Caenorhabditis elegans: one gene and its partners. The protein of the gene in region 4 purifies or fractionates together with the protein of the main gene of each other region. This does not show direct contact. Each region holds a gene or a part of one and is shown on either strand. Other genes may lie near its edges. The genes, in order: Y69E1A.5, acox-3, lbp-1 and F20D6.11.

What was found.
Region 1: the proteins of F20D6.11 (region 4) and Y69E1A.5 fractionate together in Caenorhabditis elegans (co-fractionation; one large-scale study listed by BioGRID). This does not show direct contact.
Region 2: the proteins of F20D6.11 (region 4) and acox-3 fractionate together in Caenorhabditis elegans (co-fractionation; one large-scale study listed by BioGRID). This does not show direct contact.
Region 3: the proteins of F20D6.11 (region 4) and lbp-1 fractionate together in Caenorhabditis elegans (co-fractionation; one large-scale study listed by BioGRID). This does not show direct contact.

What each region holds. Positions count from the first base shown.
Region 1 is NC_003282.8:10,955,699-10,960,766, reverse strand, and holds Y69E1A.5 (Phosphatidylethanolamine-binding protein), read left to right. Parts: upstream 1-3,111; 5' UTR 3,112-3,123; coding exon 3,124-3,204; intron 3,205-3,249; coding exon 3,250-3,475; intron 3,476-3,596; coding exon 3,597-3,808; 3' UTR 3,809-3,904; downstream 3,905-5,068. Other genes in the region: sri-19 (Serpentine Receptor, class H), read right to left, coding at 1-64, 112-222, 273-398, 851-1,069, 1,520-1,690; Y69E1A.4 (Serine/threonine-protein phosphatase), read right to left, coding at 4,178-4,492, 4,537-4,741, 4,791-5,068.
Region 2 is NC_003282.8:6,243,543-6,250,976, reverse strand, and holds acox-3 (Acyl-coenzyme A oxidase acox-3), read left to right. Parts: upstream 1-2,484; 5' UTR 2,485-2,497; coding exon 2,498-2,596; intron 2,597-2,640; coding exon 2,641-2,772; intron 2,773-2,818; coding exon 2,819-2,986; intron 2,987-3,146; coding exon 3,147-3,288; intron 3,289-3,340; coding exon 3,341-3,662; intron 3,663-3,823; exon of another isoform or gene 3,824-3,844; intron 3,845-3,973; exon of another isoform or gene 3,974-3,995; intron 3,996-4,139; coding exon 4,140-4,240; intron 4,241-4,287; coding exon 4,288-4,384; intron 4,385-4,432; coding exon 4,433-4,606; intron 4,607-4,708; coding exon 4,709-4,823; intron 4,824-4,873; coding exon 4,874-5,415; intron 5,416-5,466; coding exon 5,467-5,578; 3' UTR 5,579-5,619; downstream 5,620-7,434. UniProt on the Caenorhabditis elegans protein: Involved in the first step of peroxisomal beta-oxidation by catalyzing the desaturation of fatty acid-derived side chains of ascaroside pheromones, which regulates development and behavior.
Region 3 is NC_003284.9:3,255,788-3,261,036, forward strand, and holds lbp-1 (Fatty acid-binding protein homolog 1), read left to right. Parts: upstream 1-3,354; 5' UTR 3,355-3,370; coding exon 3,371-3,682; intron 3,683-3,740; coding exon 3,741-3,854; intron 3,855-3,912; coding exon 3,913-3,966; 3' UTR 3,967-4,025; downstream 4,026-5,249. Other genes in the region: tba-9 (Tubulin alpha chain), read left to right, coding at 34-197, 254-389; lbp-3 (Fatty acid-binding protein homolog 3), read left to right, coding at 1,619-1,757, 1,804-1,985, 2,032-2,145, 2,214-2,276; lbp-2 (Fatty acid-binding protein homolog 2), read left to right, coding at 5,015-5,249. UniProt on the Caenorhabditis elegans protein: May play a role in sequestering potentially toxic fatty acids and their peroxidation products, or it may be involved in the maintenance of the impermeable lipid layer of the eggshell.
Region 4 is NC_003283.11:8,195,451-8,202,243, reverse strand, and holds F20D6.11 (Rieske domain-containing protein), read left to right. Parts: upstream 1-3,149; 5' UTR 3,150-3,159; coding exon 3,160-3,266; intron 3,267-3,346; coding exon 3,347-3,566; intron 3,567-3,689; coding exon 3,690-3,929; intron 3,930-3,971; coding exon 3,972-4,190; intron 4,191-4,239; coding exon 4,240-4,671; intron 4,672-4,719; coding exon 4,720-4,828; intron 4,829-4,876; coding exon 4,877-5,054; intron 5,055-5,099; coding exon 5,100-5,207; intron 5,208-5,255; coding exon 5,256-5,292; 3' UTR 5,293-5,470; downstream 5,471-6,793. Other genes in the region: cri-2 (Putative metalloproteinase inhibitor tag-225), read right to left, coding at 1-70, 212-436; F20D6.10 (uncharacterized protein), read left to right, coding at 6,442-6,565.

The DNA of each region.
Region 1 (5,068 bases), on a different chromosome or scaffold from region 4:
TTCTCTTTGATGGAAGTGTTTTTAGAAGTCGGACGGAAAAATAAAAAGATATCACAATAGAACTCTGAAACTTTTTTAACCATTAACATGAAAAATGAACAATGATCTTACAGTTAGCATAAATGCAAAAAGTATAGTTGTTATCATCATCCACTTATTAACTTGCAAATCGTAAATTGCCACATTTTCCAATGTGAATACGCTGATCGCATTTGGAAACTTCTGAAGAAGAAGAAGAATTATAATTATTTTTTTAACTTCTATACTTTTACCGTTTTAATCAAATTTTCTTCCTCTTGTCGTGCCAAACAAGAAACACTAAAAAATCCTGTAATGACAAACGCACACCCATGATAAACTATAACAAAAATCCAGAATAGTATTGATCGATCAGAGAGCTGGAATGTTGCATTGATCATTTTACAGCACGTTCATTTCAGTTTCTTAAAATACCTCTATATCTACTAACTTAAGGAGGTACCTTCGATAAATTTCTTTTTTGTGCGTAAAATCGTGTTTTAAATTTAGAATACATATAATACTGCCCGAAGATTTTACAACTGTGGTCCCCGTTTGAATGAAACATTTTCAGACAAAGATTTTCAATTCTTTTTGCTTTAATTTTCCGAGAGCTGCTTCCGGTATCATTTACTCAGCTACGATTTCTTGTTTCCTCTTACAGGTCGAGAAATTTTTAGCGCTATTCTCTTTTAATTTTTATTTCCAGCCACAATTTTCAACAAATATGTGATCTAGGTGTTCGAAAAATCTTTCAAGTTTGGCATAATTATATCTCGTGTGTTTTTAAAAGTCTGGTTGAAAGTGATTGTTTGCAACTTCTAAACGTTACCTTTCCAATATTTGAAACAACATGATATTTGGTAACAATTGCACAGACAATTGAAGCAACTTGAAGATACAATAACAAGAGAAACATTGCCATTTGAATATGTGAAGATAGTCTGAACACCTGCCACAAAAGTCCATTTGTATATCCACCAATTATTGGAAGTATGTAGACTGGCTGCATTAGCAGTGTTGTCTGAGCGTCAGCCAATAGAGACAGAATCTTAAAATTGGATCTTTATTTTAATTTCTGAGACTTCAACAGGTGAAATCTGCAAAACGACTTTTGTTACTCACTCAATGCACTATATTTGTGACTGATGTTCCAGTTTATTGACCTTTTTTCATAATTATTTTTCTGATTCTTTTTGAATAAAAAAAATAAGTTTGATTCCACTGGTAATCGAATTTTTCAAATGCTGTTTATAGAAAATTCATAACTTTGCTTCTTTTTGCACTTCATGCATTATTCTATAATAGTTTGGTGAAAACTAGCGGAAATTTTGCAAGCGGAAATTTAATGTTATGAACTTTAATAGAAAGGTTCTACAAATTTCAAATTGACTTCCACTGCAAAATTTGTTTCAGCTGCACTCAAACCAATAAACTAACGGTTTCTTCCATACTGCATGTGAACTTTTTTCGTGATTTTTAACACTGAAAATTAATTTACCTGCATATTAATCATAAATCCTTTATACATTTTAACTATCTTGGGATTTTTCATGATTAGAAATATTCCCAAAATGTTGAAAACCAATGCAAATGTACCATGAATTGAATAGAAAGTTAATAGGAAAGTTGGTTTAGTAACATCAATGGTCACTTCAGAATATGTATACATTTGACTTTTGAAAATCAGCTCAAGAGATTTGAATGATTGATTAATCAAAAATGGAAAAGAAATTAGAAGAAAGAAGTTAGAGAATTTGAAACAAATTAGGAGTGTGATTTGAGCAAAAGAGTCAGAAAGAAATGACTATAAGGGCGTAACTGATTAAAATAAGCTAGTTATCCGTCCAAATTCACCTGTCGTAGTCTTGGCATATCTTCTGGAAAGCTGAAATAGAAAGGTGTCAAGTGGTTAAACAACGTTTCGAATCAATTGTTTTAGGAAGAGAGTACTGTACTTTCATAAATATATTCAGGAGTATATGTGTCTGAACTTCTGAACTGTATAGATTGTCGAAATTTTCAATTTATCAGTAATTATTTGGTTGACAATTTAGCTCAAAAAATGAAAAAATTCACAAAATAGTATCTTTAGCTAAAGGTGTATGCTGGTTGAATGGCAACTCTGTATTTCATTTTACTATTGAAGATTCTACTTAAAATTACAAAGTCCAATAGAAAAAAAATTTAGTAATTTTTTTTACCTAATTCAGTACAGTCGTGAAATTTAGCAGTTCAAAACTTTCTCATTTTCATATTTTATCAGAACATTCGAAAACCACATTCAATCTCTGATGAGTAGGCATCCGGTGGAAAGATCGTTCAAATGAAGAGATTTAGAGTCAGATGGGGGCGGTCAACTGTTGTTGTGCTTTTCGTATGGGTTAAAGATGAAGAACAAGAAAGATATGAAAGTGTAATCTGAGTTCTTCCCGCCTTTTTGCTGTAATAAGTAGTACATCACAGTCAGTAGAATGACTCTCATAACTGCCAGATGAACCGACGTCGTAATTATTTTTTTAGTTTCTGGGCTAAGCATTCAATAGTTCAGTTTTACCGAGGTGAATGGGGTTTTCCAATAAAATGCTTCGTTTTTCATGGAACCTAATGTTTTAATTTCTTCCCTATTGGTCCTGCGCTCATTGCTCTCTGTTAACAACTTGTATGGGTAGAAGGTAAACATAATGGTAGGTAGGCATTCGGTTAGCAGAAAGGTTTGAGTACTGTCTTCCAACCTATTTTTTTTCAAATGGAACCAATCGTTTATTGTTTTGGGTTTTTTCCTTTTGTTGTTGTATTTCTCTTTTTGTATGTTCCATTACTTTTCACCTCTGATTCACCAGCTTGCATTGTACATCTTGCTCTTATTTCCATCGCTTACCATCCATCACCCCTTCCTCCCCCATTACATTGTGCTCAATGCTCTTTCTCTTAGTTCCCACGTCACATCTCCAGTTTCTTTATCTTCTTTTCTCTCTGTTCCATGTTGTTGTCTGCTCATAAACCGCCTTGAAACACCTGTTATTTTTCGTTATTTTCTTGTTTTCTTCAGTCTTCTCATTTGATAACCTCATTTTGAAAATCGTCTTCCAGAACACATAAAAAATGTCCGACATTTCTGCCGCTTTTGCTCAACACGAGATTACTCCAAAGATTATTGAAAATGCCCCAAAGCAGAAGCTTCATGTAAGTTTTTTTTAAAAGTTAATTGCTACAACATTGAAAATTCAGTTGTGCTGGGACGGAATCCAAGTTGAGCCAGGAATGACTATGCAAGTTCGCAACCTTAAAAATGCTCCGAGATGGGCTCTTCCAGGAGCTGACCCAGAATCAATCTACACAGTTCTTATGATTGATCCAGATAACTTGTCAAGAAAGAATCCATCTGTTGCCGAGTGGCTTCACTGGCTTGTCTGCAATATTCCAGCCAGCAATATTATTGATGGAATTAACGGAGGTAATAACTATAATAAAACGCGAGAATACTTATAATTCACCTGGCTTCTGTTCTCAAATTGTTGATGGTGATAATAATAGGACACACTTATACCTACGATCACGAAATGTATGTTTTCCAGGTCAACATCAAATGGCATATGGAAGCCCAGCTCCAGGACCAAGAACTGATCTTCATCGTTATGTGATTCTTATGTGGGAGCACGCTGGAAGACGCATCTCTGTGCCGAAGCCTAGCTCTCGTGCCAAGTTCAACGTTAAACAATTCATCGAGAAGAACAAGTTGGGAGACCCAATTGCCGGAAATTTCTTCCTTGCTCAACACGAGGGATAAATATTGTAATTTAATGTGTAATTATAATTGGATAACAACGAAATAGCCATTTTCTAATTTGAAATTATTTCTATGTAATAAAATTTAATTTTTGTGGTTATTGAAAATTCACTCCATGCTCAATCGAGGGAAATAATATAATAATAATATAATATCGAAAGTTGGCTAATAACTTCTTCGGAACAATTATGACAGGAATAAGTCCAGGTGGTTAAAATGTAACAGAATGTAAAGAAAAAGTTACTTGAGCAAAGCTAAAGATCGAACTCATTCGAAGTTTGATGAATCTATTGTTTTCATGATATGTATACGTTGTAGTAATTTCAATTTCTTTATTTCTACGAATAAAAAGTCTAAACGAGTTCAGGATCATTTCTTGGCCTTTCTCTCCTTTTCAAATCCACGTTTCTTGTCTCTGCTCTCCGGCCTGAAGACATTGATCGAAATCTTCAGTTTCTTATCAATACTAAAAACAGCCGCTGTGTTGTCATTCTGTCCACAGTAGTTTGGAGCCGAAAAAATTGTGACCAGACGTCGACCATCGAAGAATTCATAGCCATCTTCAACAACTTGATGACCACGGATAACCATTTGAAGATCCAGTTTTTTCAGAAATGCACGGAGAGCTGGTGGTCCGAAGACAAAAGATGCACCACGTGCGGATGGTTTATAGCCTTTTTCAGTCTGAAAAGATATTTATTATTTTAAAATTCTGAATGAACGCATACCGGATCAGGATCAGCCCATGTCAAATCAGTTAGAACACCAACATCAGGAATCTCGAGTGGTCTTTTGAAAACCGAAAACTGATTGAAACTTGTCAGATGCTCACTGATTCCTCCATGCATACACATAATCGTATTGTTAATCACAGCACAGAATGGGAAAACGTTGAACATGTTCTGGAAGCATTCGTACAATTGAGCATCATAACTGAAAAATGTTAATGTATTCTCAAAGATGTCATAATTTTAAAACGAACCGATAATTGACCTCTCGATAGAATCCATACGAAGTGTTAACTGATCTTGATTCATGATTCCCTCTCAGTAAATAAATACGATCGGGATATGCAAGTTTGAGAGCAGTGAGTAGAATGACAACTTCCATTGAAAATGGTCCACGATCGACATAATCTCCAAGGAATAGGTATCTCTTGTATCCAGTTGTTACCTCTTTGTTCACACTTTTCGGAGCAGCAACTGGTGGTTTTACATCGTTACTTGATTCTGGCTGTGTCGAATGTGGTTCACTCTGAGG
Region 2 (7,434 bases), on a different chromosome or scaffold from region 4:
TGTATGCCTCCATAAACTTGTTTCTGTCAAAATCTAAGGCAAAAGGGCGGCCGGGGAGTGTCATTCCACAATAATCAACATGTATATCAGATATACCATGTGGTTTGAAATTGAATGGTGATTTATCATAAGAGCCATTGTACGCGTCAGAATCAACAAGACCAATGAAAATTCGACGGGGCATCTTGCTTGTGAAGAGTGTGTTAGCCGGCGCGTCAAGACGTCCAGACTCTATATAGAAACTGCGCACCTGTGAAGATATTAGAGGATATTGGATTATTTTGTGCTCAATAATGGAGCTCTCTAGAGCATTAGATAGACCGTCGGCAAGATCGAATTCGTTAACCAGAGCGTAAACGTCGGTTATTTTGAACTGAAACTCTGTGTTGTTGTCGCGATTGTAAACCTCAATCAAAAATTTACTATCATTTGGGTAAACTGTAAGTTTCACATTACAACCGTTCAAGAGCACTCGCGGCTGATTCATCAAGTCAATCGAAATGTTTGCCGCAACTTGTATTTCGTCCTGGTTGTAAATTGAGGCACAACGCTGTTGAAACCCAGGACTACGGTGGTCGCCAATCACAGGGTCATGATAGAAACCGGCCGCGGTTAGAGTGGAGTTTTGAATTTCCTTCCCGTACATTAAAACGTGTTCAAAATAGCTCTTGTACGCATAGTTTGACGAGTTGTGAAAAGCTAATTGTGAATTAATGTGTAGTGTGAAATTTCAGATCGACTAGTTTTCCGGTCACAACTCGGATCCCCGTTTTCAATGCACAACTTTACGATCCACACATTTCAACGTTTTATACACTAATTAATGCCAGAAACTTATTCGCAACATTGGCACACATGAAGCAATAATTAATAGGCACACACGGTTTTCAGTGAAATTCCTCAATTATTCTAAAACGGGGGACCAACCGAGAAATTTGCAAAAATGCGCAACTTTAAGTCTTTTGCACAACTATTCCCACTATACTACTAACTTACTCTAATTGCTTGATGTTTAAGCAATAAAATAACAGAAAAATAACATAGTATGATATATTGCATAAAAGAAGATAGGACCGCCACCAAGCAGTCGAAGAAGGCAGAATGAGTGATTTCTTCTTCAGAAAATGGGCGGGTTTGTGGCTTCTCTGACTCTCTCAAAAGCTCAGAATGTGTGACGTTAGAGCTAGAGATTATTGAAATGTAGGAGGTTTTGAGAGATTAGCAAAAAAGGAAAAAAGGATTAGAAATGTTTTCAAGCTCTTCTTTATGCCAAGATCATGAAACGAAAGACTTGTTTGAGAAGAGGGAAATAAGATTATGAAATTATGAAAAAAGATGGAAAATAAATAGTTTTAATTGTATTTCAATCATGCTTCAATTGGCCAACTCTTGTGTTCAAATTTAAATTAAACAAAAAAATTATTATGCTGTTTCACGAATACTATATGAACAGAGGCATTTTCTCTGTTTTGATATTGAAACTTCAGCTGAAAAAAAGATCTCGTAAAAACAGTCTTGATCATGAATTAAACTAATCTCTTCTTGTTAATGTTAGTAATGATAGAAAAATATTGCCTGAACTTTGTGGTTCCACTTATTTTAACTTATAAAATAGTGAAACGCATCTAGTAATTCGAAGAAAAAGCAAACTCTCTATTGAGGTTTTCAACAAAATCACAAAGTTGGCAATCACATTTTTTTCCAAATTCCACAAAATTGATGAGTAGGTTTTATCGGACACCTAATATAATTGCTCAAGTCAGAGCAAACCTATTATTATTATCAGTAATTTCAAGTTTTGGTAGTTCAGCCAAAATTGATTTCGGGAAAACTATGAAACCGCTAAAAATGTTTACATCAAAGTCTAAACTGCAAAAATGTTGGAAAATATTGTAAAAGTATGAAATATTGAAGTTAAAGTGCTAATAATTTTTAATTTAATTTTAATTTAATTTAATTTTTATTTTGACCAGTACGCTCCTGGAAATGTGTTACCCCCACTTTCGCCAAAACTGTATTTAGAAATTTTTTAGCGTATTTTTATTTAAAAACATGTTTTACACTTATGGAAATAATACTAAATTTTTTATTATCCACTACGTTGTTTTAAACTATTTACTTGTCCACATTCTCTCTCCGAGCCCACTTTAAAACAAGGAAACATGAATTTTCTGTAAAATTTCAGTTAATTTCCTCTGACCCTTTTTACAAACACCAGCTAATTACAATCTACTACGATAATTTTAAAAGACCATTCCTCCCCCTATTTATACAATACCACCACGCTGTAGTCAGACTGTCTTCGATCTCTGCGTCTCTCAATTACTTTCTATTTTCTTTGTTTTTGATAAGACTACACTCTTCCTACCCAGTACATATGCAATTGCTTTTGTCTTAATTTTGTTCAGTTTATTTTAACATATATTCTGCTGAAAATAAAATGAATCTTTTGAATTTAAAGGATTTATTTAGTAAATTTTTCAGTTTCAGATCAAAAATGAGTGCTCCTTTAATTGACAAATACCGGAAAATGGCAACTTTCGACTGGAAAAAATTGAAAGCAGCCGTTGAAGGAGAAGAACATGTTAGACTGAAGGTATAGTAGATTTTGGATTTATAAAATATTTATATATATTTCAGTCAGAAGTAGTTGCTAAAATGAAGTCAGAACCAGTATTTCACAGAGATTATCGAGTATTGAGTAGAGAAGAGCAAAGAGAAGTTGTTCATCAGAGATGGAAGAAAATTGTCGAATGGGGGTTGTTCAAAGATGTATTTCTTATTAAATTGTAGATTTTCAATATATTCGAATATTCAGCCGTACTCCGATCTTGAAAACTTCCATGCATTGACTGAAACTCTTGAAGCTTATGATCAAGGCACATCTGCAAGGCTTTTCCTCCACGGAAATGTTTTTGGAGCAGCTGTTAAGTCAATGGGAACAGATAGACATAAGGATTTGATTCAGAAAACTGAAAACAATGAGGTGAATTTCAAAGAAAATAGCATACAAAATTAAGAAGTACTCAAGAAAAAGAAAAATCAAAACAAATTTGAAAATAATTTATTCTAAAGAAATTTAAACAAAAGCGCATTGTATTCAAATCTGGAAAGTTTAGGTTTCCTTGCAAAATAGCAAATTTCAGATCGTCGGAGCATTTTGTCTGACAGAAGTAGGCCATGGTTCAAACACTGCTGAAATTCAAACAACAGCTACATTTGACAATGGAGAACTTGTTTTCAATACTCCAAGTGTCAGTGCAATCAAATGTTGGGCTGGAAATCTCGGTGGGTTTTAAAACATTTTTAATTTTAAATTTAAAAAAATCCATTTTTTTAGCTCACTCGGCCACTCACGTAGTTGTTTATGCTCAACTTCATGTCGAAGGAAAGAACGAGGGATTTCATGGATTTGTGATTCAAGTTCGTTGCCCTAGAACTTTCCAAACTCTACCAGGAATTACCATTGGAGACATGGGCTCGAAACCAGGATGCTGGCAGGGAGTAGAAAATGGCTGGATGGAGTTTAAGAACCATAGAGCTCCTCTGAGTGCACTTTTGAATAAGGGTTGTGATATTACTCCGGATGGAAAATATGTGACAAGTTTCAAATCTGCAAGTGAGAAGCAGAGTGTCAGTTTGGGAACATTGTCAGTTGGAAGGTATGTTTTCAATACTTTACGACGCCGGCCGTATAGAAAAATTTTTTAATTGAGTGAAATTTGTATCTAAAAGAATTTCTGTTAAAAAAATCAGGTTCTGAAGAATTTCTAGCCGCTGTTTTACCAACTTTTTAAATGTGTTGTTTTTTTCTCAGTTTTAGTAGATACAAGATGCAAATTTCACGGCCGAGCCTTATTATCAATAAAAGCAAAATCTCAAAACGAATCTATTCCAGCTTTAATCGATACTTTTAAAATATGAATTGATTTTCTAGAGTGAAGCCATTGTATTTAATACAAATAGAAATAATGGAAATGGCATTCTTAGGACAATTCGAAATTGTAAAAGCAGACGAATTCATAAAGTTGGGAAAACAGTGCAATCTATAAGTTTTTCCGATTGATTTTTTTCAAACAAAATACTGTTTCAAAATTCAAACTTTACCAACAATGGTTTCACAATAACACAAATTTCAGACTCGGAATTATCGCAAAAGGAATGATGGCTTGCACTTTTGCATCTACAATTGCTATTCGATACAGTGTTGCTCGGCGACAGTTTGGACCAGTAAAAGGCGGTGAGCACCATTCCTTTTCTCAATTTCTCAACTTTTGTATAATTCAGCTGAAAATGAGATCCCAGTTCTCGAGTATCCACTTCAACAGTATCGTCTATTCCCGTACCTATCCGCTGCAATTTGCATTAGAATATTCCAGAAGAAGTGGGAACTCTAAACAAATTGTTTTCAATAATTAGTTAAACTTTATAGGTTTGTCGGACATTTCACTGAATATATGATGAGAGTCATAATGGGAGAAAAGTCAGACGAGCTCTCCGAGTTCTCAAAAGAAGTACATGCATTGTCGTCTGGAGCTAAACCGGTTGCAACGTGGCTTGGTGTAGAATCCCTTGGAGAAGCTAGAAAAGCTTGTGGAGGTCATGGGTATGTTTCCTAACATAACCTGAAACTTAACTTTAAGAAACTCATTTTTTGAGAATTCGTCTTTCTATTTTTTCCAGATTAAAGTTAAAATTTAAATTACAGATACCTACAAATGTCACGATTGAACACCCTCCGAGATGACAACGATCCATCACAAACATTTGAAGGAGAAAACTTTATGATTTTGCAACAAACCAGCAATATTTTGCTAGGAAAAGTAAACTTAATTGTCAGATTCTTTAATCATATTGAGATTCTGATGTTCAGGCTCAATCAATTGGATCCATTGAGACCCCGATGTCTACTATGTCATTCTTGAATCAAAAACCTTCAAAGTTCTCATCATGGTCTTCGAATCCAGTTAATGACGTGTTGTCTGCGTACCGATATCTCACTTATCACTTACTTCAAACAACTTCGGCAGAAGCTTACAGACTAAAAGCATCTGGAAAGAATTCATTCGAAGTTCGAAATGAAATTCAAATTCATAGAGCTGTCAATTTGTCTGTTGCATACACAGAACATACAATGATCCATTGGGTTCAACAGTTCTTGAAAGAAATTGAAGATCAAAGTGTGAAGCCGGTTCTTCAAAAAGTTTTGAATCTTTTCTCACTTTTCCTTTTGGAAAGACATCTTGCAACTCTTTATATTACTGGATATGCTTCTGGTGGAAAGTTTGGAGAAGATCTTCGAGAGAAGCTTAGACTCGCTGTAGCCGAATTAAAACCCGAGGCCATTGCTTTAGTGGACTCGATTGCTCCAGATGATTTCATTTTACATTCAGCTCTGGGAGCATCTGATGGAAAGTCAGTTTTAAAATGTAAAGGTTTCTGCTGAACTTTAAATTTGATTTTCAGAGCGTACGAGCATATAATGGAAGAATTCCGGAAGTATACAAATGAACAACCAAGATGGGTTTGCGATTTGGCTCAGTTTTTGCAAAAGAGATCACAAGGATCCAAGCTATAATATTTCACAAACTGTATATTTCCCAATAAATCCAGTTTTTGAATAAATTCAAAATATACAAACAATTTCAAATTTCTTTGAAAGCTAAAATTTTTGCAAAAAATAAAAATCTAAACGTATAAGCAAAGTTTTCAGATTTATACATATCGTCGACGTGAAACGGCAAAATTTTTTAAATGTTTAATTGAAAAAATTTATTAAAACTTTGGTACCCGGATGTCAGGAAATGCTTAAAAGGCTTCTAACACTGGAAAATAGTTTCTCATTTAGAACCAAAACGATAATGTTGCGTTAGTTTAAATGAATTTATATGATTAATGTGAAACGGGGAAAATTTAAAATAGTGATAGCGCCCACGGGGAAAATGTTTAAAACTATTTATTAAGTGCCAAAAATCATTGTAGAACTTTCACAATGTATTTATAAAATAATATTTATATGAAATAACACCAAAATTTAATTTATTTCCACGCCAATTTCTAATTTTACTTTAAAAACTGTTCTCACAATATTATTGTATCAATGTTGTCGCGAAGTCGATGAATACAAAGATTAACTCGCTCACGACTTTTATTTTTAATTTCTATTCTCCACGTGATAAAGAATCCATTTCACATATCTGGAGAATTTATAAATTTATCAACTCTCATTAATTTGCTAATTGGCTTGAAAGGGTTGTGCATCAAAAAGGTCTTCCGTTTGAAATTCTTCGCACGATGACAAATAATTTCAAAAATACAATTTTCAAAACTTAAAGTTTTTCAGAACTCGTCCGTCTGATTCTCCAATGTCAACTTTGTATTGCGTGCGAATAACTTCAGGAAACTCTACAAAGGCTCAGAAAGGCTGTAAAAGCTCGAACACAACTGAAGCTCCGTATACCAATGTTGCGTGATTTCAAAAAAGTGTTATACCATCAATGGGAAACGGTAAAAAGTTTTTTTTAATTTGTAGGTGCAAAATGCTTTGAAAATTTTTTGTTTCGAGATTTTAAAAATAGAATAACACAAATTTTTATCAAATTTCAAACAATAATCATTTGATACCATCCGTTAATATAATCTCCATTGTAATCATATTTCCAGTATAAAGAACCCATTTCACATGTGAAACTGATTGAAAGTTTTTCTAACCCTGATTCAATTGATGTCATTGCTCTACACGGACAAGTTGTTGTAGATTCAGTATTATTTCCTGTACAATTACAACCAGCACTTTCTGATAAACATCTTCGCGTTCTAATCCACATTGTATCGCCATCATTTCTTCCGTAACTGGAAAAAGAGCTCCAAATTCCTCCAATTGGACAACAATTATATGTTGAGTTAGAAACAGATGCAGCAGTTTCAGCGGCTGTTGTTAGTGGTCCACATTGAGTTGTTCCGTTCAGAACCATTGAGACATATGGAATACAACAAGTACGTTGAGCTGGATATGAACATGGTTATGTGTTGCACGGATAGTAGCGAGTTGCATTTCCACTGAAAAGAAATATTCTGATGTACATAAATAATGGTAGGAAAGTTTTTTCATCCTTGATTTTTTGCATTTTCTACAAGAATTTTTGGAGTGGAATTTTTTTTGAAATTTCACAAGTTATAGAAAACTACTCAAATGAAGTGTTTTGCAAGGTATTTTTTTCAGGTTTGGTTACACATCGATGCTCAATAATTGGGGAGAAATTGTGTTCCACCCTTAATGATACTATTCCTGGTGAATGGCGTGAGCAAATCTAATTTTGGAAGTTTCCAAGCATATCATACCTGTCACAAGGACAACTTATTTCCTCTGAAACGCAGGATAAGTTTTAGCACAAGAACCACAACTCGCTGAGCATTCGACACCTTCTGCATCAG
Region 3 (5,249 bases), on a different chromosome or scaffold from region 4:
TTGCCCATTTTGCCACAAATCACAAATCTACAGGTCGGCATCAACTACCAACCTCCAACTGTGGTCCCTGGTGCTGATCTCTCAAAGCTCCAACGCGCTGTGTGCATGCTCTCCAACACAACAGCTATCGCAGAGGCATGGGCTCGTCTTGATCACAAGTTTGATTTGATGTACGCGAAGAGAGCATTTGTTCACTGGTGAGTCAACGCATCTGGCAATCGGGCGTTTTTTAATTTATTTTTTTGGATTTTAGGTATGTTGGTGAGGGCATGGAGGAAGGAGAATTTAGCGAGGCGAGAGAGGATTTAGCAGCATTGGAAAAAGACTATGAAGAAGTTGGACTGGATGCAGGAGAACCTGATGAGGAGGATGATTACAGTCATTATTGAGGAAGCTTACTTACAAATTGCAATATTAGAAATGATGTTTGACAAATATAAATATTAAAACTTTGAAATCAAACATAAATATTTAAATCTAAAGTTCAATTGGATTTTTCAGTACTTTTTCAAGCTGTGTAAGATAGTGTAAGTGTAAGATAATATGATGTTGCAAAAAACATTCTAAGTATAACTGGAATTCAATGTTATAGAATAAACGTACAGAGTTTGTACATATCATGAATACAAAAACTCTATTTTGTAATACTGTCGCGCTCATGGAAACCATTCAAATTGGAATTCCAAGGAGAATTATCATCAATGGAAAAATTATTAAAAATGCAGACTTACCAATAAAAAACAGGGCAAAAGAAACAGTGAAAAAAATTCGAATTTTAGTAATTTTTTGAAAATGTTCTAAACCGGTCCTTTTACGAAAATTGTATTGTTCAGCGACTTTCGGTTTTTCCAGGTGTCTAATCGTTCCTTTTCTATTCGTTTTATTTATACGTTTCAGCACCACATTTCCGTATTCTTCCATTTTTTCAAAGACAAATTTGCAGGAATACCCTTGGTTTTTGTAATCTTTTAGAAATACATTTAGCTTTTGGAATGCGGATTTTTTTCTTCATATTATCGTTTCCCCCGTTCCACAGTTTTCTGTTTGATCAGCTTTCTCCAGCCTCAGTTTTCAATTTTTATTTCTAACCTCTAACCGTCATAAATCAATTGTATGTAGTTGCTACTTCTGTGTGCTAACCAAATGTATTATCAGTTTTCTCCGACCGTTCTGCGCGGAGTCATATTATGCAAGTGATGATGGTGCAGAACAACACTGATAACAACTGTCCGACCACTACTTCATCTTATCATTTCTTACGCATCCCGTTTTGTCAGTTCTATTTGAATATATTAGTTGTAATAGCAGAGTGTTTTCCTTTTATTTTAGTTGTTTTTTCTTATTCTCCAGTTGTGTTAATTGTTTTTTTTCTAACTTTTTTCCAATCTTTCCAAATTCCAATGTAATATATTTTGTGCATTTTGTGTGCTCCAGAGTACACTCAAAGCATAGGGCTATGAGGCAGATGCTCACAATTTCGGATCTCAATGATACCGAGCCATTGGGCCTATGTAATAAATCAAGTGAAGAAGAAGAATATAGATAGATCTAACCCCCAAGATAAAATCATTGTCCATCTGCTCTTGCGACCAATCGATTCTTCATACATTTACTCGTCATGAATCTGTACTTAACTTTATTCTCCTTTTGCTTTTTAGCAATTATGGCTGAGGCGGCTTCTGAAATTCCAGAGAAGTTTTTTGGAAAGTATGATCTCGACAGAAGTGAGAACTTTGACGAGTTCCTGGCTGCTAAAGGTAAAAATAATTGATAGTGTACATTTAATAGTAATTTTAATTACAGGAGTGAGCTGGTTTGTGAGACAAATGATCAAATTGGCAAAAGTGAGCAAGGTGCTGGCCAAAAATGAAACTCCTGGAAAATACAACATGGAAAACTTGACTTCAAAGAAGAATACACTCTACCACGGGTGGGAGCTCGGGAAAACTTTCGAGGCAGAAGGCCTTGATGGAGTTGCACACAAGGTTTCAAAAAATATTCAAGTGTCTTAAAAATATTGTTATATTTAAGATTACCTTCTCCTTCAAAGACGGAGTTTTGTCTGAGCACCATATCCGACTCAACGACCCAGAACACAGCGCGGAGACGTACTACTACACTATCGAGAACGATCAACTTGTCATGGTGTGTACTTCGTTCTCTTTTCCTTTTTTCCATTTTACAACTTCTTCCACTAATTTTCTCATTTTTAGAAAATGGTCAACAATGGAATCACGTGCCGTCGTTGGTTCAAGCGATCGACCGGAAAGAAGTAGAAATTATAAACACAACATAAAACTGAGCTCTTCACATTATTAATCACAGATGTTTATTTTTTCTGTCCTTTTAAATAAACAATTGTCCCTTTAGACTTGCTCTGCCATTTTCAAAAATTGCATGATCTCACAAAAAAAAACGAATGAACAGATGGAGGTCAAACATCGAAAGTGGACATAGAACAGATTAGCCAAGGTACAAAGTAGATGGGTCTATTGTAGCCCAATAAAACGTGAGAATCGTATTGGCCAATTTACGGGAAAGGCCATCTGGAAAACAATGATCTCTAATATGAATTCTGTCATCTGGGAATAGGGCTCAAACATTTGAAAACCAGAAAAAAAAACAATTTTGTGTCTTAAAAATTTTAGCTAGTGTTGAAAGTTTAAAAATATTTTTGAAAAATTGTGTTTTATGGGATCCTTACAATATTTTTTCGTTTTCATTTTGAAACCAAAAAAACCCAAAACCGAATGTACCGAAATTCTGCGGCAAAAAAACTTTTTTTCTGAAGTCGTTTTCTTTTTCTGTGGGTCGAATTCTATATGAATAAAAATTTTCATAATTTTTTCCGGTAGTTTTTTTTGGTTTTCCAAAGTCCCAGCCCTGCATGGATTGTGTTTTGAACTGCAGACCTGAAGACCTGTTGCCGTATTCAATGTTTGCTGAAGAAATGGAGAATCATACTATAGACTATGAAAGATAATGATAACATAAAATTATATCAACCAAATAAGGAAATTGCAATTCGATTCGCCTTAAACCTTCAACGAAATTATTTTGAGTTGATTGTTCGGTCTTCCAGGACCCGATTCATGCAACTACTCTCTTCAAAAATATCCGAACTGACCCCAACACACGGAACAAAAAAAATCTGCCCCGAATCATTTATGCTACACTCTCTTTCGATACCCATCCGAGTCCAGCCGTCCATCTCTGCTAATCGTCAGCGCAATCGACATGTGGGCTGCACTTCTTGCCGTACAATGTTGTTTACGACTGTGCAAGTAGGCGGGGTCCACGCAGACGACGTCGACACACAGCCCACAGTCCTGCCAAGACGTCAGTCGTTCATTCATCGACCTAGCCAACCATGTGCGCTAAAATCGCTCTTCTCCTGGTTCTTGTTGGAGCTGCTTCAGCTGCTGTTCTCCCTGATAAGTTCTATGGAACTTTTGACTTGGACCATTCCGAAAATTTTGATGAGTATCTCACTGCTAAAGGATACGGATGGTTCACTCGTAAACTTGTCACTTTTGCCACATTCAAAAAGGTGTTCACTAAGACTTCCAACAAGAACCTCTTTGACTACTCCAACTTGACATCAAAGAAAGACGTCCATTACAAGAATGTCCAACTTGGAAAAGCCTTCCAGGGAGAAGGACTTGACAGCACCAAACACGAGGTACGCTTTTGCAAGTTTTCAAGTAACCTTTCAAATTGATTAATTAATTAATTTTCAGATCACTTTCACCCTCAAGGACGGACATTTGTTTGAGCATCACAAGCCACTCGAGGGAGGAGACGCCAAGGAAGAGACCTACGAGTACCTTTTCGATAAGGAATTCCTTCTTGTGGTAAGTTATAAACATTTTTTAAAAACCAATTTCACATTCTCATGATTGTAATTTTCAGCGCATGAGTTTCAATGGAGTTGAGGGACGCCGATTCTACAAACGACTCCCATAAATATTCAGAAACTATTGTAATTTTTGTATGAATTGATTTCTCAATGTACTTTTTTTGCCACTGATGTATTTCAAGTTTCAAATAAACTGAAAAGTTAGATCGATTCTGTAATGTGATATGGGGCAAAAAATAAGAAAAATAACGCGGTTCTTTTGTGATTCATGCTGCATAGCCCTCTGAAGTTTTTTGTTTGGGAAATGTTTTCACTGGTTTAAAAATGTACATATTAGGAGTTCTAGAAAGCAAAGTTGATTAAAATTTGAATTTTTGTTAACGTGTAAAAGTGACACAAGTGTTAAAAAGAAAATTTTGCACATTGAAGACTTGAAATTAAGAATCAAATTATCAGATGAATTGAACCTATGCTGGAATCAAAACATGAAAGTTCGATTGCGCCGTGATATTTGCAAAAACGTAATTCAAAACACAAAAAGGACACAACCAGTTTAAAATTTCGGGTGGGTCAAAATCCAATCACTTTTCGGTTTTTTTTTTTCGATGTTGTGTTCGAAAGTTTTCTATAAAATGGAGTTTTTTCTACTCTTTCGTATGCTCTTTTTTATTTTTTTTTTCCTGATTTTCACATTTAATTTCTGAATAAGGTACCATTAAATAAGAACCATTTCTCAAAATACATAGTTTAATAACTAAAATCATTGGATCTTGAGGACCTCATTAAAAATATTTTTTTAAGTCTTAAATTGTTTGATGTGCAGTCAAAAAACGTAGCAGTTTTCTTTTCAATTTTCTTAACGCGTTTAAATTTATTTCGACAAAATTCATTCTGCATTTCAACAAGTAATCGATGAATTGTTTTCGTTCGGTCTCTTAAATTTTGTTTATTATTAGCTTCCAGGTGTTGTGAGGATTTTTGAAAATCAAGTAAGTCCGATCATCAATTTGTTGTTGCCATCCGTGCCGTGACCCTATATTACACACGTGGCTGACCTCAGTTTTATTGTGTTGTCGATTGAGCAACTGGGCGGAGTCTTGATCAATCTTCATTTCTGTGGACACTTCAGTCATTCAGTCATTGACTTGAACAAAAATGTCTTCGAAATTCCTCATCTTACTCGCATTTTGTGGAGCTACCCTTGTGGCTGCCGAACAGCTTCCAGAAAAGTTCTATGGAACCTTCGACTTGGATCACTCTGAAAATTTTGATGAGTACCTCACTGCCAAAGGATACGGATGGTTCACTCGAAAGCTTGTAACCTTTGCGACATTCAAGAAGGTTTTTGCCAAGAATGCTAACAAAAACCTCTTCGACTACTCCAACTTGA
Region 4 (6,793 bases):
TGAGCCCGCAAGCTGGAGCTTCTGATGGAGTGAAAATTTCATCTGGCAGAGTTGTCATGTTGGATGGTTTCTGAAATTAAAAAAACTTTGACATAGAAACATTTTTCTGTAAGTTTGAAATGCATGTTACTTTCAGTTGTATAGAACGCTGATATAAGCTTATCAGTAAGTTTTTAGCACCTGCGGGGTAAAATAAATCAAACTCGCTTACCTTAAAAACCTCGACATGTTGCACAGTGTATCTCAAATTATTCAATCCCTTTCTCTCGGATCCTTCTGGAAGTCCTTGTTTTCCTACACGGACCTTCACTTTGACATGAGAAACCCAGTGAGCATTGCAGAATGATTCCTTGGTTGATTGCTCTCTACACTTGCAAGCAAGAGTTACAGCAATGAGAACTGATAGAATGACTAGAGATAAAGATAAATTTTGCATCTGAAAATGGAATTAGTATAAATTCGAGGTGAAAAAAAATTGTGAAAATGAAAAAAATGAAACATGAAGAAAGCAGGAAAATTTTGGTAATAATATATTTTTTTACACAAAAATTGTTTTTGATGGCAAAATAACATTAACTTGCTCAAATAATTCATTTTTCTAGCCAAATAATTCATATCATAAACTTTAAAAATACAAGAATCTATAAATTTGGGCTCAAGTTTTTGTTTTTGAAACAAACAAAAAAAAAAGAAAATAGTTATTTTGTTGATAGTTCAACCCAAGACTGATCGTGAGATGACATTGGTTGAGCGAATTGAATCGGTCAAGAGTAGATATAGTACAGAGATCCGAGAGATATGAGACGATGAGAGACAGGAAGTGTAACAATAACATTAGTGTGACAAAAAAAAATGAAAGATGGTGAATAAGTGATGAATCATTATTATGACGTCTTGAAATATGATAAAGATAACTGAAAAGAGATTTTGATAGAAATTCCAAACTCACTATTTTACAGACATTTTTCTGGAAATAATAGTTTTGGAAACTGGAGTCTGAATACTTAATTTGCATGTACATAAGAAATAAGTTTTGATTGAATTAATATGTAGAAAAAAAAAGTTTGCGAAGGCACGGAAACTCCTTGGCCTGCATAAATTTCTGTTATAGCATCCCAGGCAAATTTAATGTTCACCTATTATAACCCAAGACTATTGTAGCTTCATCATGGCATCGAGACTAATAACAACTTCTTCACAATGCTGCAAAACATAAACCAAAGTTTGTGATTCACTATTGGACTTTTGGAATATTTGACTTTATAAAATAAAAAACGAGACACAAAAATATTGTTTCACAAACCATTCATCAAACTTCAAAAAAAAAAGTTTCAATCCGTAGAGACTCACTCAAACATTCACTTTCAATGACAATAGCCAACTGCCGTGCTAATAATTGAACAAACTGACAGTATACTTCATTTCACGCTTGTTTCAAGCGAATGTTCAGCTTGGCTTATAGCAGTTTTTTCAGAGACCCGAGCTTTTATAAAATTCCGGTGGACTCATAAAATATGGTCACAAAACCAAAAAACGAAAAGCATCATTCATCCATACCAAATGATTTATGTGGTAATCAAAGCTTAAAATGAAATTCTTATGATTTCTGATTCTTTGATTCTAAAGCTTGAAAAATGTGATTCTAAAGCTTGAAAACAAGCTTGAAATATAATTTTGTTTGCCATGAGATTTTTGGATAAAAGACGATTTTTTTGCAATTATCGTTCACAAAATTGTTCTTTACAACTATCCCGAATGAAACTACTGAAAATTAAACATTATATGATTATTGTGGAATATTATTTTGAACTAAATTATCAGCTTTGATTATTTGAAATTGAAATTCCGGCAAGGAAGTAATCGTACTTTTATAAAAATTTTCATAGCCCATAAGTTCACATTTTCCCGTCCAAAAACAATTGTCTCTATAAATATGTTCATTGAACCTCTTTTTCCTAAATTTCCGCATTTTCCCACTATTTCTCTCAATTCTCCCAATTATGTTGTTGTTTGTGAGTGTCACCATAGGCCGTTCTACGGAGAGTTTTGTTTGTATGTCTCGGTTCTCTTCATCTCTCGGTTTTCAAGAAAAGGGATTTTCCATTTTAACGTTTTTGCACTTTTTTTTAAAGCTAGTGATACCGATTTTTAAAAAAAACAATTAAGACGTATCATTTTCAAACTTAAAGGTTAAACTTTCAAACGACAAATTTTGATTTTTGAGCGTTTCGTTCCAATATGAAGGATCATGTTTCCTTCAACTGATCGTTTCGACGTTTTTTCTTCTCCAGTTTTTCTTGTTTACTTCGTTTAACCTTGATGATCTTCTAGTGGTTTATTGTCGAGATTTTCATTCAAAATTTACTAATTTCAATAAGATTTAAATCTAAAGTTTAGAGTCTTTGATGTATAAATTGGACATACTGAAAATTAAACGTTTTGGAAAATTTTCCGTAAGTACAGAAACATAGTTTCAAATAAAAAATTCGAAAACATTTCTAACCATTACGATTAATCAGAAAAAAAAAATAATTCAGAAAATAACGCTTCGTTTACAAAAACCTTCCACGCAAACAAATATTGTTTACCAAAAACTGATAACGTGGATGTTTTGAAATATGTTGTTGTTTTCCCACATCTTCGTTGATTTTTCTCTTTGAAGCTCTGGTATTTCAAGACTTAAAAGCATTTTTTGGCTTTCACCTTGACTTTCTTTTACCCTAGTTTAATAAGTATACAAGGTGTGAACTAAAAATTGTAACGATCACAAAGTTTCTTTTTCTCTGTGGTCAACTATCCTAGATACATGCCAGTGTCAGGCATTTGTCAGCATTTCCATTTGCCGCCTAGCAAATAGACCCAGCCTTTCGTGTGCTTCTCTTTTCCTTTTTCTTGTTCCTACAACTCAAAGTGCTCCAATTGGTCTCTGTAGCCCCATTTTTATATTTTTGTTATTTTTTGTACGAAGAATTTGCCCGAAACCTCTAGGACAAAGTTTGAAAACTGTACGTTTTTTCAATTAAACTTTCATCTATAGACTCTTATTGATAACAAAAATTGATGACTGATGACTACGTTTATTTATCATTCTTTTCCTTGATTTTCTGAAAAAAAAACGAATTTACACGTACATTTCTTTAATATTCCAGTATAATAACAATGGCTCTCGCCAATTGGCTAACCCCTGTTGAGCCGGAATGTGACAATGATGATTCTCCGGCAGTGGAGGAAATTCTCGGTAGAATCGAAGATGTACCGCCAGGAACGTAAGTAATTTCAACTTTTTAAAAACAGTTCTCTAAAGTTTTAAAAAGAAAATTTAAAAAATAACATTGTCTTTTTCCAGTAAGAAAATGTTCGAAGTTCGTGATCGTAAAGTTTTGGTGATTAACGACGAGGGTCGAATTTACGCTATTAATGGATTGTGTTCTCATTACAATTTCTCATTGGAGAATGGAACATATGCAAAAGGAAGAATTAGGTGCCCACTTCATGGAGCTTGCTTTAATGTTCGATCGGGAGATATTGAAGACTATCCAGGCTTTGACAGTCTTCATTCTTATGTGGTAAGTGGCACCCAAAAATTTATTGTTTTCGCATTTTTGGACAAATTCTTTTTTGAAAAGTTGGAGGTGACTGATTAAACTTTGTTGTCCTTTTTTTGTAATCAAACAATTATATTTTTCCAGGTTACTGTCAACGATGGAAACCTTATTATCAAGACAACTGAAAAGAAGCTAGGTTCTGATCGTCGAATTCGACATCTTCCAAAAATGAAGCAGTGTAATGATCGACCAGTTGTGATTATCGGTGGTGGTGTAGCTACAGCTACATTCATTGAGCATTCTCGACTTAATGGTCTTATAACCCCAATTTTAGTAATCTCAGAAGAGTCTTTGCCGCCTTATGATAGAGTCTTGCTGTCTAAGGTAATGTTAAATCTTTTTTTCTAAATTACCTATGATTTTCAGAAACCAGCAGCAACCGGAGAGGATATTCGTTTGAGAAAAGATGATGCGTTTTACGAAGAGAGAAATGTCAAATTTCTTTTGAAAACATCGGTGATTGCAGTAAATCATAAAAGTAGAGAAGTCAGTTTATCGAACGGAGAAACTGTTGTTTATTCAAAACTAATTATTGCTACTGGAGGAAATGTTAGAAAGTTGCAAGTACCCGGATCAGATTTGAAAGTGAGAGTAAAACGAAAATCTGAAAAATATAAACATGTGCAATTTCCAGAATATTTGCTACCTTCGTAAAGTAGAAGAAGCCAACATAATTTCCAACCTTCATCCTGGGAAGCACGTCGTCTGTGTAGGCTCATCATTTATCGGAATGGAAGTGGCATCCGCTCTGGCAGAAAAAGCTGCGTCAGTTACAGTTATTTCCAATACTCCGGAGCCTCTTCCAGTTTTTGGATCAGATATTGGTAAAGGAATCCGTCTGAAGTTTGAAGAAAAAGGAGTAAAGTTCGAGCTGGCTGCAAATGTGGTTGCTCTTCGTGGAAACGATCAAGGAGAAGTCTCAAAAGTTATTTTAGAGAATGGAAAAGAGCTTGATGTAGATCTTCTTGTTTGTGGAATTGGTGTTACCCCAGCCACTAAGTTTTTGGAAGGATCTGGTATCAAATTGGACAATAGAGGATTCATTGAAGTTGATGAAAAGTTTAGAGTGGGTTTAGTTTATTTTATGATGCTTTTTTAATCTCTAATACTTCAGACTAATATCAGCTACATCTTCGCAATGGGTGATGTTGTCACAGCTCCTCTCCCACTTTGGGATATTGACAGTATCAATATTCAACACTTCCAAACTGCTCAAGCACATGGTAAACCAGAAGATATTCAAATTTAACTATCGATGTTTAATATTTTAGGACAACATCTTGGATACACTATTGTTGGAAAACCTCAACCTGGACCTATTGTTCCATACTTTTGGACTCTGTTTTTCTTTGCGTTTGGTTTGAAGTTCTCAGGATGCAATCAAGGATCCACAAAGGAATACACTAATGGAGATCCTGAAACTGGAACTTTCATTCGATACTTCTTGAAGTAAGTGAACAATTATACATTTTTCATGTTAGTAAAAACTTTAAGAAAAGACAAAGTCGTAGCTGTAGCTGCTGGTGGTCCATCCAGTGTTGCCTCCCAGTTCGCTGAAATTTTCAAAAAAGGAATCGAAGTCACTCTGAAGGATTTGAAAAAGTTAGTTTTAATTTAAACATTAATGCAATTACCCAAATAAACTTGCAGCAGCAGCGATCACACTTGGGGACATCTTCTGCTATAGACGAGTGTAGGAATTCAGCAGTAAATAAATAAACTATTTGTTTGATTAAAAAAAATTTTTTTTGTGTTTTTTATGGAATGAACTAAAAACTGATTTATATGTATTCGCTGTTCCCAAAAATCCGATTTCTGAAAAAAAAAACCATTGGCTCTTCCTTTAATAAAAACTGAGAAATATTAGAAATATAACAATGCACCTGATTGTTTCACAAAAAACCACAGAACCAGTCAAAACTCTGAAAATGTATAAACTCAATTGAGATGCTCTTCTGTAGAGACTGATCTTCAGTAACCATAAAATGAACGTTTTCAACAAGGAAGTTCATAAAACGAGTGTAATTTTCACATGCAATAAATAACTACACTACAACTCTTTAGTTTGATTTGTGAAAATGCCAAAACTCACAAATCATGAGCAGTGTCACGTCTCAAATCCCAGACAGCAAACTGTGATAAGACTTGTAACTTAATCCACTCATTTGACTTGCATTTGACTCAACCCGGATACCAACCTTCTTACCCGGCTTATTCTCTCATTTCACTTCTTCATTTCTTGGCCCGGTGGTGATAAAACATTGGTTTTGATTGCGACGAGAGGCACTCACTCTTCCGTTTATCACTAACTCTTTGCTCATCCGGAGACCCTTGCTAATAGAGATAAACTTGTCGTTCTGTGTCTTGATATCATCCAACTCGTACCTTCTTCACCTTCTTTCTTTTTCATCTCTCTCACTCTTGGTCTATCACCTACATTTCACTCCACTGGATATACCGCCACCGTTTGTCACATGTGTCGACGAGTCCTCCTCTTTGTCATCGGGTCCGTGAGATATTAGAGAGTGTTTGATTGTGAGAGAGTATAGACAACGTAGCATTAGAGAAAACCTCCAGAGACTTGGCTCCACAGACCCTTTGCTCGATATCGATGTGATTATATGATAAAACTTTTTTGAACTTGATTATTATTTTTTGTTACACCTGTTACCTTGAATTTTCCAAAATCTTCTGAAATTTCAGATACCGTACTTCGTCTCGACCATAACTCAAATGTGACTAATTATTTCGGAAATTAAAACGCGTGTTTCAAACTTTCTGAAACTCTTCGAAATTGAATTTTTAATTTTGATTCTTGTCCACTGCATGAGTCAAAATGACGGAACGGCTCGGCTCCGTGAACCCCACTAAACCGATAAATGTAGCAGAAGCTGCCCAATTAGCTGTTCGACAGAAAAACTTTAACCGAACTTGTTGCAACATGTGTCACATCAAACTAGGTGAGTCATTTCTAAAAATGTTTGAAAAGAAGCCTTGACAAGTGGATATAACAAGTTGTCATTTCTGAAAGGATCAATAAGTTGAAAAAACCAAAAAGTCAACGAATGTTGATTGCTAAATGTTTGCTTAAATTCGAATGTTCCAATTAAGAAGGATATCGATTGACATAATCCAATAGTTTTCTTCAACCAGTTTCTTTCAAAATTAGATCTGTAAAAACTACAACT